3 linked regions of the Macaca mulatta genome follow. Each later gene encodes a partner of the first gene's protein in a complex. Links are inferred from orthologs where the notes say so. Each region holds a gene or a part of one and is shown on either strand. Other genes may lie near its edges.

The links.
Region 2: SMARCD3 (region 1) and ACTL6B share a complex: the UniProt entries of both Homo sapiens proteins name them as parts of the BAF complex. The link is inferred for Macaca mulatta from reciprocal best matches to the Homo sapiens genes SMARCD3 and ACTL6B.
Region 3: SMARCD3 (region 1) and DPF1 share a complex: the UniProt entries of both Homo sapiens proteins name them as parts of the neuron-specific chromatin remodeling complex. The link is inferred for Macaca mulatta from reciprocal best matches to the Homo sapiens genes SMARCD3 and DPF1.

The regions. Positions count from the first base shown.
Region 1 is NC_133408.1:190,678,901-190,683,301, forward strand, and holds the start of SMARCD3 (SWI/SNF-related matrix-associated actin-dependent regulator of chromatin subfamily D member 3), read right to left. Parts: upstream 2,812-4,401; 5' UTR 2,726-2,811; coding exon 2,648-2,725; intron 1-2,647. UniProt on the Homo sapiens protein: Involved in transcriptional activation and repression of select genes by chromatin remodeling (alteration of DNA-nucleosome topology).
Region 2 is NC_133408.1:47,852,046-47,855,685, forward strand, and holds part of ACTL6B (actin-like protein 6B), read right to left. Parts: intron 3,328-3,640; coding exon 3,233-3,327; intron 3,167-3,232; coding exon 3,060-3,166; intron 2,048-3,059; coding exon 1,958-2,047; intron 1,801-1,957; coding exon 1,739-1,800; intron 1,602-1,738; coding exon 1,487-1,601; intron 1,350-1,486; coding exon 1,269-1,349; intron 1,164-1,268; coding exon 1,068-1,163; intron 870-1,067; exon of another isoform or gene 853-869; coding exon 766-852; intron 1-765. UniProt on the Homo sapiens protein: Involved in transcriptional activation and repression of select genes by chromatin remodeling (alteration of DNA-nucleosome topology).
Region 3 is NC_133424.1:49,293,348-49,296,987, reverse strand, and holds part of DPF1 (zinc finger protein neuro-d4), read left to right. Parts: intron 1-2,884; coding exon 2,885-3,012; intron 3,013-3,278; coding exon 3,279-3,368; intron 3,369-3,640. UniProt on the Homo sapiens protein: May have an important role in developing neurons by participating in regulation of cell survival, possibly as a neurospecific transcription factor. Belongs to the neuron-specific chromatin remodeling complex (nBAF complex).

The sequences.
Region 1 (4,401 bases):
GGGGCGCCGGAATACGCGCGGCTCTGGCGGAGGGGCTTGGCGTCTGGCTGTAGGAAGCTAACTGAAGCCAGGCACCGCACAGGGCATTGCGAGCCTCGGGGCTGCGGAAGGTACCGCAAAAATGAATATTAATGGCTTCTTTCAACCTTTCAAAGATGTTCACATCCACATGCTCCTCTACAAGACAGTCTGAGCAGGTCCTTTCATCCCCACTTGACGGATGGGGCCACTGTGGCTCAAGGAGAAAAGCGACCTCGCCAAGGTCACACAGCTCATCCAGGCCCGGCCAGCCCCTGAAGGGCTGCCTCCTGGGGGCCCAGGGCTTTGCTCTCTGCAGCTTGGTTGAAGTCAGGTACCCGGCTCCCTGCTCCGACTTCTGCTCCTCCTCCTGCTCCTCCTTCTCAGGCTTCACTTCTTGGGCGGTTCTGCCTGGCACTCACTAGCTCCTCATCTCAGCCACTCTGCTCCCTGCTTTGACCCTTCGGTCCCAAACTCCACTCCCCTCGACTGACTCCAAGTCCCCACACCCAGGGTCTTCGCTGACCCAGGGTCTAAGCTGCCCTCATAATTTGCTCCCAGGGTGAGGGCTGGAGGCAGGGCAGGCAAGGGCAGCCTTTGGGGGCACCCCAGACCCTGCCAGGATTATCTGATTGGGAGGAGGGGAGCTGCGTTGGAGGTGGGCTGCCCAGGGGGCCTGAGGTGGGTCAGGGCAGTGACACTTCCACTCACATTTCCCTTCCTGTCTGCCCAGGTCAGCAGCCACCTCCTCCTCTTCCCATCCCCACCCCAGCAAGGTCAGCAGTCAGGGTTCAGGGGGCTGTGGAGACTGAGAGGAGGCGGCTCCTCCTCCCTTGCCACTACCCCTGGGTGGTCAGATGGGGTGTAAATGAGATGCAAATGCATCGAGCGAAGTGTTCCAAACCCCACTTGTCCAGACTCCAGAAGGGAGATGGGGAGGGCCAGAGAGAGTTTCAGGGGCTGTGAAACAGAATGAGTGGGGTGGGATGGGGACTGGGACCACGAGAGCAGGAAGACGATCAGAGGGCAGGGGATGCAGACCCTGGCCCTGTTAACATGGACACATCACCCACCTCATCCCCAGGCATGAGGAGGGGCCCCTTGGGCTTGCTGTTTTCCTTCCAACTGCTACCTCCTCCTGGCCCTCCAGGCTCTGTGTCTAACCCTAATGTCCTCCCACCCTCGGTCAGCAGCTGTCTCTGCCTATCTCTCCTGCAGTGAAACCTGCCTGTCCATGTGTCTGCTTCCCTCACCCCACCTGACCCTGTCACTCACGCCTCCAGGGTAGCGGCCCAGAATGGAACCCAGGCCTGGCCACCAGCTAGATGGGGCACTGGGGCTCACAGTCACTCAGTAACTGAAGCTCTAAGTTGGCCAGATAAAAAAAAAGTCCACGTGTGCAGCCTCTCCCCACTAGATGGGCCTTTTTAAAGGGGCTCCCACCAGCAGCCAGGTTAGGATTGGTAACTCAGCTAGCTGACATGGACACTTTGGGAAGTTACCCCCAGGGGTCCCTGGGGTTGGAGGATGGGCCACTCCAGGGAGGCCCCCTCTTCCTGTCAGCTGCTCTCCCCAGTTATCAAGGCCAGGGATACTGGCTCCTCTGCTGAAGAGGCCCTGAGAGGGAGGCTTCCAGAGCCCCCAGAGAGCTGTGCCCACCTCCAGCCCCACCCCCATGAAAGGCCAAAATCCTAGGGACTCTGGTCTTACTGAGAAGGTGCCTTCCTTGGGGTCACAACCAAATTTGGCCATAGTAAACCTGACAGCTTCTTCTACACAGGGCCTCCACCCCCTCACCCATCTCAAGAGTCACAGCCCCTGCCTCTCCCATTCCACACCCCTCCACACCCCTCCCAGCCAGGCCCTACTGACTCAGCTCCAGCCTCCCGGGCTCCCACGTGCCTTTGCAGCCTGCCTGTGGCAGGACAGTGCTCCCCTGTCCCTTCGGTCTCTAGGCCTCACATCCCCAACTCCAGCCCTTCCTTCACACCTTCGAGGAGTTAAGGACATCAGCTTCTGGTGGCTGAGTCCGCCAAGGGGACCCTCAGAACCCCTAACTTGGGCTAAGTCCCTAGAGCGGGCCTCTCCCCGACCCTGAGGCAGAAGCTCCAGAGCCCTCCCGCTGAGATGCAGAGGTGGCTCAGCCTGCGAGCTTCCCACTACAGTGCCTCCAGGGTCACCTGCTCCTTGCTCCGGAGACACAAGCAGTGACACTGTCCCAACGGATGAACAGACAGCCCAGCCCAGCCTCTGCCATGTCCCCATCCCCCACCCCCACCCCCAGGGCAGGGGCAACACCTGGGCCCACAAGGAAAAGAACGAAAGTCAACCTGTCGGCTACAGCGAGGACTCCCCACTTGGGGGGGAGAGTCCCCAAGTCTCACCCCCGCCCCTGACAAGAGCCATGCAAACGCCTCCCTTCCCCGCCTCGCACCAGACCCGGCCGGCCGCCTGGCGACGTGTTCGGGTGCCAGGGCGCCAGCACAGTCCCGGAGCCGGGCCGTGGGCCATGGCGCCCCCCACTAGAGGGGTGGGAGAGCGGGAGTGCCCTCCCGGCCCCTCCCGATCAGCCCTCCATTCAGCCCGAGCCAGCTCGCTCGCCCTCCCCCTCTAACTTTCCCCCACTCACCACCCCATGGACCAGAAACTCAAAAAGTTTGCTTTTCGTGGCTTTGCGCGCCCCTCCGGCAACTTCGTCCGCGGCCATCGGGGTGGGCTCAGCGGCTCCTCTCACTCTCTCTCTCTCTTCCTCTTTCTTTCCCTTTTCTGCCTTTTTTTTTCCTCCAACTCTCCCCTCTGAGTCCTGCTGGGCTCTCTCACACTTCTACTCGAGCGGAGTGGGGAGGGGGCCCCTTCAGGGCTGCCCTGACGGCCCACGGCCCACGCCGCCGCCGCCCGCCCGCCGCCGCCGCCGCGGCCGCGGCTGCCGCATTCCTGCACTGATAAGACAGAAATAGTCCGGCGGCCCGGGGTCTGCCTGTTGACTCGGCGGGGACGGGGCCGCCTGCCTTTCCAAGCCCGCTGTCCAAACAGCGCAGATAAGCGGCGAGGCGCGCCGACCAGCCCGGCCGCGGGCGCTGGGCAGCAGTGCTGCAGCCCGAAGCCGCCGAGGCCCGCGGGAGGCGGCGCGAGGAGGGGACGCCAGGGGAGGCGGCGGGGGGTCGCCGGCCACCGGCTCTCGCCACAAATAGTTTCTCCGTCAGGGAATTCGCCGGCCGCGCCAGGCAGGGAACAGTCAGTTCCAACTTTTCCCCCAGCGGGCTCCTGCAGCATTTCTGAGGCCCTTTCCCCAGAGACCTGGCAGGCCGAGCAGGGAAACATTCGCTGGCAGGAACCGGGGGAGCCCGGCCCGCGAGGCCTCGCGCCTGCCCGGGGCCGGCGGCGGTGGGTGTGCCCGGGCGGCGGCGTGGCCCTGCGTCCACAGCTGTGTGTGCCCTTGTCTCACACGCCGTGTGTGTCCGCGCCCTTTTGTGGTGTGTCAGCTTATGTGCGTGCAGACAGACGCCCTGTCTGTGTGCCTCCCTCCACGACAGCCTCCGTGCGCGCGCCTGCGTGTGTGGCAGGACGTGGCCTGTGCCTTTCAGCTCTGTGCAAGGCTATTTCTGGGTATGTGAGTCTTTGTTTGCCGTTCTGTGAGAAAGTGAGGGCAATAGGGGAAGTATTTCAGAAAGAGGGACAGGGATTGTGTTCATGAGAACAGGAAGAGAATGAATGTGGGGAATGGCGCAGCGCCAAGGGGGTGCTTGGGTGGGTGCGTGGAGAGAACGAGGCAAGCCGAGCTTGGTTTTCTTGGGGTGGGGGTGGAGTGGGGTTAGGGGACCCAGAGGAGTTGGGGCAGCTGGGCTGGGTATAGTGGGTATATTGGGCCGGCCTCAAGACCCCAAAGAGAGGGATCTTGAGGCTGCGGTGTGGGGTGGGGTGGCAAGGGAGCCCCAGAAGGGGCGTGTGGAAGGAGTTGGCAGTCCCTGGAGTGGAGGAGGGACCGGAAGGAGGAGGGGCAAATCCTGACATACCCAGGCTGGGAGCCCTGGGCCTACCCAGGTCCCCAAAGGCCACGCCCCTTTTTCCTCCTTCTGGGGGAGGAGCCCGTGGGCTTTGGAACAAGGCCCCTTGGGTCAAGTTTGGGGGCCTGCTGGGGCCTCACTGTGAGAATCCAGGTGAAGGCAGGGCCATAGCCTAGTGCCTAGGGGAGTTTGTTGAAACACTTATTTGAAGTTGGGTCCTGAAGACTGAAGTGTCCTGACCCTAAACCCTTCAGAATGCCTTTGCCTAGGGGTCTTTTCTGCCTGCAGCCTGATTTCTGCTGGCCCTGGTTGTGCTCTTGGCTGTCACTGTTCATTTGGGTGTCCACTGTCAATCTGAAATGTCAGGGAGGGCATCTGG
Region 2 (3,640 bases), about 140 Mb from region 1:
TTCCAATCATGCCTGCATTGCCACATCACTCCCTGCCCCAAACCATCAGGGTCTCCCCTCTGCTGACTGAACACAGTGGGTGTCTCACCAAAATCTCATCCTGACCAATCTCTCCAACTACCTGTCCCTCTACTCCTTTTTTTTTTTTTTTTTTTTTTTGAGAGAGAGTCTCACTGTGTCACCCAGGCTGGAGTGCAGTGGCACGATTTCAGCTTACTGCAATCTCCATCTCCTGGGTTCAAGAGATTCTCCTGCCTCAGCCTCCTGAATAGCTGGGATTACAGGCATACACCACCACGCCTGGCTATTTTTTGTATTTTTAGTAAAGACAAGGTTTCATCGTATTGGCCAGGCTGGTCTCGAACTCCTGACCTCAAGTGATTCGCCCGCCTCGGCCTCCCAAAGTGCAGGGTTTACAGGCATGAGCCACCGTGCGCGGCCTCTTCTCCCCAATTTGTAAAAGTAGAGATGGGTCTTGCTATGTTCCCCTGCTGGGTCTTGAACTCCTAGCCTCAAGCCATCCTCCCACTTCAGCCTCCCAAAGTGCTGGGATGACAGGTGCGGGTCACTGTACTGGGCCCCTGCCCCCAATTTGTGTCCTGTTCACCTTTCTGGGAACATTCATTGACCGACATTTCTCAAAAATAAATGTTCGTTGAATGAATGAATGAATGAATGAATGAAGAGGCAGGCAAAGTGGCGGGCGCTGTCTGGGTCTCCCCTGTCCCCCACAGTCAGTGCTAGGCCAGGTCCCCTTCCTCTCACCAGTGAGGCCAGGATGGAACCCCCAATCCAGGGGCTGAACTTGCGCTCCATGGTGCTGTTGCTGGCAATGAGTTTCAGTCGCATGCTCTGGGGGTAAAAAGGGGCTGGGGGAAGCAGACACCTAGGTTCTGGGAAGGGACAGGGCTTGGGGGGCAGGGGGAAGACTTGGGAAGCCTCAGGGGCAGGGGTTCTGCTCTGGTGGACAGAACAGAAGGAAGGACATGGGAAGAATGGGGGACTCAGTCCTGGACAGCTGAGCCAGGATGGGCTTCTGGGGCACTGGGTCAGGGGTGGGCTCCTACCGGTGGGGTCTTCTGGGAAAGCTCTCGATTGAGCCTGTCAGTGAAGCCCTGCAGCAGTGTGTTCCCGCCGGTGACAATGACACTCCCATACAGGCCCTGAGAGCAGGAAGAAGGAGTGAGCCACGGGGGACAGCCCCCCAACCCTGCCTTCCCACTTCCCCTGGGCCCCTTTGCCCAGCCTCAGCTCCGGCCTGGCCTCACCGGGCGAATGTCAATGTCACACATGCCGATGCTGGTGGTCACCACGTGGCCCACACCCAACATGGTATTCCCCGACAGGCCCTGCAGAGAGAGGTGACTGGGGCTGTGGGCCCTCTCCCCCTTCCCCCAGTCCCTGCAATCCTTCCCAGCCTCCCCCACGCCCCAGGATCCAAGGACTGCAGCCAGCACCCACCCCAGTCCTTGCCACACAGCCAAACCTTGACGTTCGAGGGATCAAAGAGGCCCTCGGGGATGCGGAGTCGCTCGGCGCCATAGTCTGTGTTGTAGCCATTGGGCATCTCGTAGTGCACTGTGGGCATTTGTGCAGCCACCCTGCCCAGAAGGGAGCAGGACTCTGCCTGGGGTGCTCAAGAGGGATCAGTGGGTGGACAGCACCAGAGTCCCCCAGCCCACCCCAGGAGTCCCAGTTCTGCCCTTTCTCCCACCCCCCAGCCCTGAGCCACACTCACTGTTCATCGTAGGGGGAGTCTGAGACCTGCAGCACGGAGGCCTGGAAGTCCTGGATCACCTCCTGAAATCCCAGTGAGGGTGATGAGGGCCTGGGTTCCTCCTGAGCAACACCCCCCGCCCAGCTCCCCCTCCCTGCTCCACCTCCCATGCAAGGCCCCTGCCTCGCCCCCATTCACGGCAGGGGAGGGGGCTTCAGGGGACCCTCTCCAGAGGCTCACATTACACATGTAGTTATGCCAGGACTTGGAGACCTGGGGGAGCTTCTCCTTCTTCTTCCAGTTTGGGGGGGCGCCCTCCCGGACAGGCTCCTGTGGGGACAAAGCGTAGGAACACCCTTTCTTAGCCCACCCTGACCCCTACCCCACCTTCCTGGCACTGTTCCCAGCTCTGCAGCTAACTGGCACTGGAGGCTCTGCTGTGCTGCCTGCAAGAGGGTTTCTCACCCTTTCCTGATGGACAGGAGAGAGAATGGGGCATGCCTCTCTCTCCGTGTGTGCCCTTCATGCAGTGGATACAGCTGACCTGGAGAACACCAGGAATACAGCAGTGACAGAATCTCCAGAGAATGGCCTCCTAGGGGGCCGCGATCCACGTGAGGGCACAGGACGGAGCTAAGCACACAGTGTCACTTCATACAGCACCCTGGCTACTGCCTATTACCGTTCCACTTTACAGAAGAGGAAACTGAGGCCCAGGGAGCTTTGATATCATGCTATTGGTCACACAGCTCTTTTTTTTTTTTTTTTCAGAGTCTCACTCTGTCGCCCAGGCTGGAGTACAGTGGCGCGATCTCGGCTCACTGCAACCTCTGCTTCCAGGGTTCAGGTGATTCTTCAGTCTCAGCCTCCTGAGTAGCTGGGACTACAGGCATGTGCCACCATACTTGGCTAGTTTTTGTAGTTTTAGTAGAGATGTGGTTTCACCATGTTGCCCAGGCTGGTCTCGAAGTGAGTTCAAAGTGATCTGCCTGCCTCGGCCTCCCGAAGTGCTGGGATTACAGGCATGAGCCACCATGCCCGGCCGGTCCCACAGCTCTTGCACGGCAGAGGCAGAACTTGAACCTGGGTTTATATTGAACCCTAGAACCCACCACACTGGCCCTCACACATCCTGCTGTCTGCTAGCTGATTCCATGACCTCAGCGTATCCCTCAGCCTGTCTGGATTTCAGATGCCTCACTTATATAAGGAGAAACTGGAGCCAGGACCCACTGGGGAGCCTGCTGCTCTCTGCTCTGATATCTCGTGTGTCAGCGGGTTGACGGCCATGGGGCGAGTGGCCAGGACTCTAGTGGCAGCTCTGTGTCCCCAGAGGCCCCACCTTGGCTGCGATCATGTAAGGTGGGATGATGTCAATGGCCATCTCCTGGAACAGCTCCCGGCACTGCATGGAGATGAAGTCCCCTGCCAGAGGGGACTTGACGATACCTGGAAGGAAGGCAGTGTCAGGATCTCGTCCTCCTGGTGCGCCCCTGCCCCTTGCCGAAGCCCCACCTTGCTGCAGGACGTAGCCGTCATGTACTGGAATGGCCGTGGTGTGGGTGGCCCCACTGTCCAGCACAAGGCCCGTGGACCGCCCGTTTGCAAAGCTGGCATCGGATGGGTAAGTCAAAGAGACAGCAGTGGCAAATGAGGGGCCTGGGCCCAGATCTGGTCTGGTCACTCTCTGCTCTGCCAGGGTCCAGCTCATCCCCAGTGTGCAAATCTCTCCTCCTGGTGATGACTCATCTCCTGGAGAAAGGCTCTGAGACCCCAGTTACTTCTTTTTTTTTGTTTGTTTTGTTTTTGTTTTTTTTTGAGACGGAGTCTCGCTCTGTCGCCCAGGCTGGAGTGCAGTGGCCGGATCTCAGCTCACTGCAAGCTCCGCCTCCTGGGTTCACGCCATTCTCCTGCCTCAGCCTC
Region 3 (3,640 bases), on another chromosome or scaffold:
AGTGGTATTGGAGGGCATAGTGATACCTGTTAGGTGTGTGTGGGTATATGGAGTTTCTGTCTGCATCCCTTCCCCTGGGAGTTGGGATGGATCAGTATCTGCCTGTATTTTTTTTTTTTTTTTTTGGAGATGGAGTCCGGCTCTGTTGCCCAGGCTGGAAGTACAGTGGCACGATCTCAACTCACTGCAACCTCCGCCTAGTGGGTTCAAGTGATTCTCCTGTCTCAACCTCCCACCTAGCGCACATCGACACGCCCGGCTAATTTTTGTGTATTTTTAGTAGAGACGGGGTTTCACCGTGTTGGCCAGGCTGGTCTCGAACTCCTGACCTCAGGTGATCCACCCGACTCGGCCTCCCAGAGTGCTGGGATTATAGGCTTGAGCCACCGTGCCCGGCCATCTGCCTGTATTTTCTTCTGTGGGTGCCTGAGGGTGTCCGCCTCTGTATCTCCCCAAGGGCGTCTGGATGTCTCAGTGTCTGGTTGGAGCTCTTTCCTCTCTTAGGTGTATCTTCCCGGGTGTCTCCAAGTGTCTTAGAAGGCTTGTGTCTTGTGTATGTCTGGTTTGTCAGGGCGTCCAGCTCCTTCCCAGTGTGTCTGGGTGTGTTACGCGGTGCGGCCGTCTCTTTCTGTGGGTGTGTAGGTGCCTCGGAGTGTCTGGGAGAATCTCTTCCTGATGGTGTCTGGTGTATCAGGTGTATTTCTGCACGTGTGTGTCAGTCCATCAGAGGATCTGGACTTAACCTTGAATGTGTTTAGGAGTATCAGGGTCATTGGGGTCAGTTTCTCTTCCTGAGTCCGAAGGTCTGTGTGTACCCAGGAGTGTGGCAGTGACCACCTGGCTGTGTCTCTGTCTGTCTGTGTCTCCTATGTGTGTGTGTGTGTATCTAGCTGAGCAATTCTCCCTGGGTATGTTGGTATCTCCCCACTATGTGTCTAGGCATCTCATCTGGCTGTCTTCCCCAGGGGGGCCTAGGTATCTGGAGGGCTAATTCTTTCTTCTTTCTTTCTTTCTTTCTTTCTTTCTTTCTTTCTTTCTTTCTTTCTTTCTTTCTTTCTTTCTTTCTTTCTTTCTTTCTTTTTCTTTCTTTCTTTCTCTTTCTTTCTTTCTTTCTTTCTTTCTTTCTTTCTTTCTTTCTTTCTTTCTTTCTTTTTCTTTCTTTCTTTTTCTCTCCCTCTCTCTTTCTCTCCCTCCCTCCCTCTCTCTTCTCTTTCTTTCTTTCTTTCTTTTCTTTTTTCTTTCTTTCCCTTCCTTCCTTCCTTCCTTCCTTCCTTCCTTCCTTCCTTCCTTCCTTCCTTCCTTCCTTCCTTCCTTCCTTCCTTCCTTCCTTCCTTCTTCCCTCCCTCCCTCCCTCCCTTCCTTTTCTTTCTTTCTTTTCCTTGTTTCTTTCTCTTTCTTTTCTTCCATCCAGTTTGGAGTGCAGTGGCACGATCTCAGCTCACTGCAACCTCTGTCTCCCGAGTTCAGGTGATTCTCTTTCTCAGCCTCCTGAGTAGCTGGGATTACAGGCGTGAGCAATTACATCCAGTCAATTTTTGTATTTTGTTTTTAAGTAGAGATGAGGTTTTACCATGTTGGCCAGGCTGGTCTCGAACTCCTGACCTGAAGTGATCCACCCACCTCGGCCTCCTAAAGTGCTGGGATTACAGGTGTGAGGCACCGCACCTGACCAGCTGATTGTCTCTGCGCATCTCTGAGAGTACCCATGGGTCCGGCTATGTCTCCTTCATGTGTCTGGCTGTCTCCAAGGATCTGGCTATACCTCTCTGAGTCTCTAGGCTGTATCTGAGAGTGTGGCTTGGCCAGGCATGGTGGCTTGTGCCTGTAATTCCAGCACTTTGGGAGGCTGAGGCAGAGGATCACTTGAACTCAGGAGTTTGAGACCAGCCTGACTAACATGGTGAAACCCCGTCTCTACCAAAAATACAAAAATTAGCCGGTGTGGTGGCGGGCCAACCACTCTGCCTGTAGTCCTAGTTACCCAGGAGGCTGATGGGAGGATCACTTGAGCCTGGGAGTCGCAGTGAGCTGAGATTGTGCCACTGCACTCCAACCTGGGTGACGGAGCGAGACCCTGTCTCAAAAAAAAAAAAAAAAAAAGAAAGAAAGAAAAAGAAAAAGGAGAGCTTGGTTGGGCCTCTTCCTTTCTGCGTGTGTCTCAGAAAATCTGTCTGGATGTCCCCTATGGGTGTCCATGTGTCTCCTCTGTGAGTGTGTGTATCTGTCCGTATTTGTCTGGGTGTGTTTAAAAGTCGCTGTGTCGGCCGGGTGCGGTGGCTCAAGCCTGTAATCCCAGCACTTTGGGAGGCCAAGACGGGCGGATCACGAGGTCAGGAGATCGAGACAATCCTGGCTAACACGGTGAAACCCCGTCTCTACTAAAAAAAAATACAAAAAACTAGCCGGGCGAGGTGGTGGGCGCCTGTAGTCCCAGCTACTCGGGAGGGAGGCTGAGGCAGGAGAATGGCATAAACCCGGGAGGCGGAGCTTGCAGTGAGCTGAGATCCGGCCACTGCACTCCAGCCTGGGCAACAGAGCGAGACTCCGTCTCAAAAAAAAAAAAAAAAAAAGAGTCGCTGTGTCTTCCCTGAGTAGGTCTGGGTGTGCCTGATGGCCTGTGTCTTTTTCTGAGGCTTTCCGGTATATCCAAAGTTCTGACTGTGTCTCCTGCCGTGCGTCCCAGGGCATCTGAGGGTGTGGCTGGGTCTCCCCGGGGTCTGGGCCTCCCTTCTAGGGCGTGTAGTTAAATCCTCGCCTCGGCTGCTGGCCGAGTGTGGGAAAGCTTCTTCCCTCCCGCAAAGAGCATGGTCCCCCCACCTGCATAGTTTGAGGAGTCCTCTAGGGTCAACTTCCCCATCTGACCCTGCCATGGCCCTGTCCCCAGACTGTGAAGCACCCCTGAAGAAGGAGGGTGGCCTCCCTGAAGGGCCCGTCCTCGAGGCTCTGCTGTGTGCAGAGACGGGGGAGAAGAAGATTGAGCTGAAGGAGGAGGAGACCATTATGGACTGTCAGGTAGGCCCACCCCTGGGGGACCCCCCGACATGGCTTCCTCTCACCCCTGCCGGCCGCCAGCCCGGGCCCTCATGTTCCTGCTCTGAAACCCCCCGGTTTCCTCCAGCCCTCGGGCATCCCAGTCTCCATCCTCCCAGACTTCATCTCTGTTTGGAAGAACTCCTGACTTACGCTCTCATCCCCAATCTCCACCTCTGCCCAGAGCCCCTCAAAAGCAGGTCAGTGGCTCCTACTTTCTTGATCCGTCTCCTTTCTCTATTGCCCAGAAACAGCAGTTGCTGGAGTTTCCGCATGATCTCGAGGTGGAAGACTTGGAGGATGACATTCCCAGGAGGAAGAACAGGGCCAAAGGAAAGGTATCACCCCAAGGTTCTCCTCTCCCCTGCTCCCCTTAATGACAGGTCTCATTCGTGGAGCAGGCGCAGTGGTCGGCCCCTGCCACAGTCTGACCTCATTGAATCCCAGAACAGCCTGCAGGGGTGGGGGATTTAATACCCATTTTACAGATGAGGAAACTGAGGCTCATCTGTATTAAGCCATTTGCAAAGCAGAGATTATGCAGTGGGTTAGAGCTACCTTCATCCCCGTGCCGCAGAGGAAGAAGCTAAAACTTGGAGAGGTTTGAAGC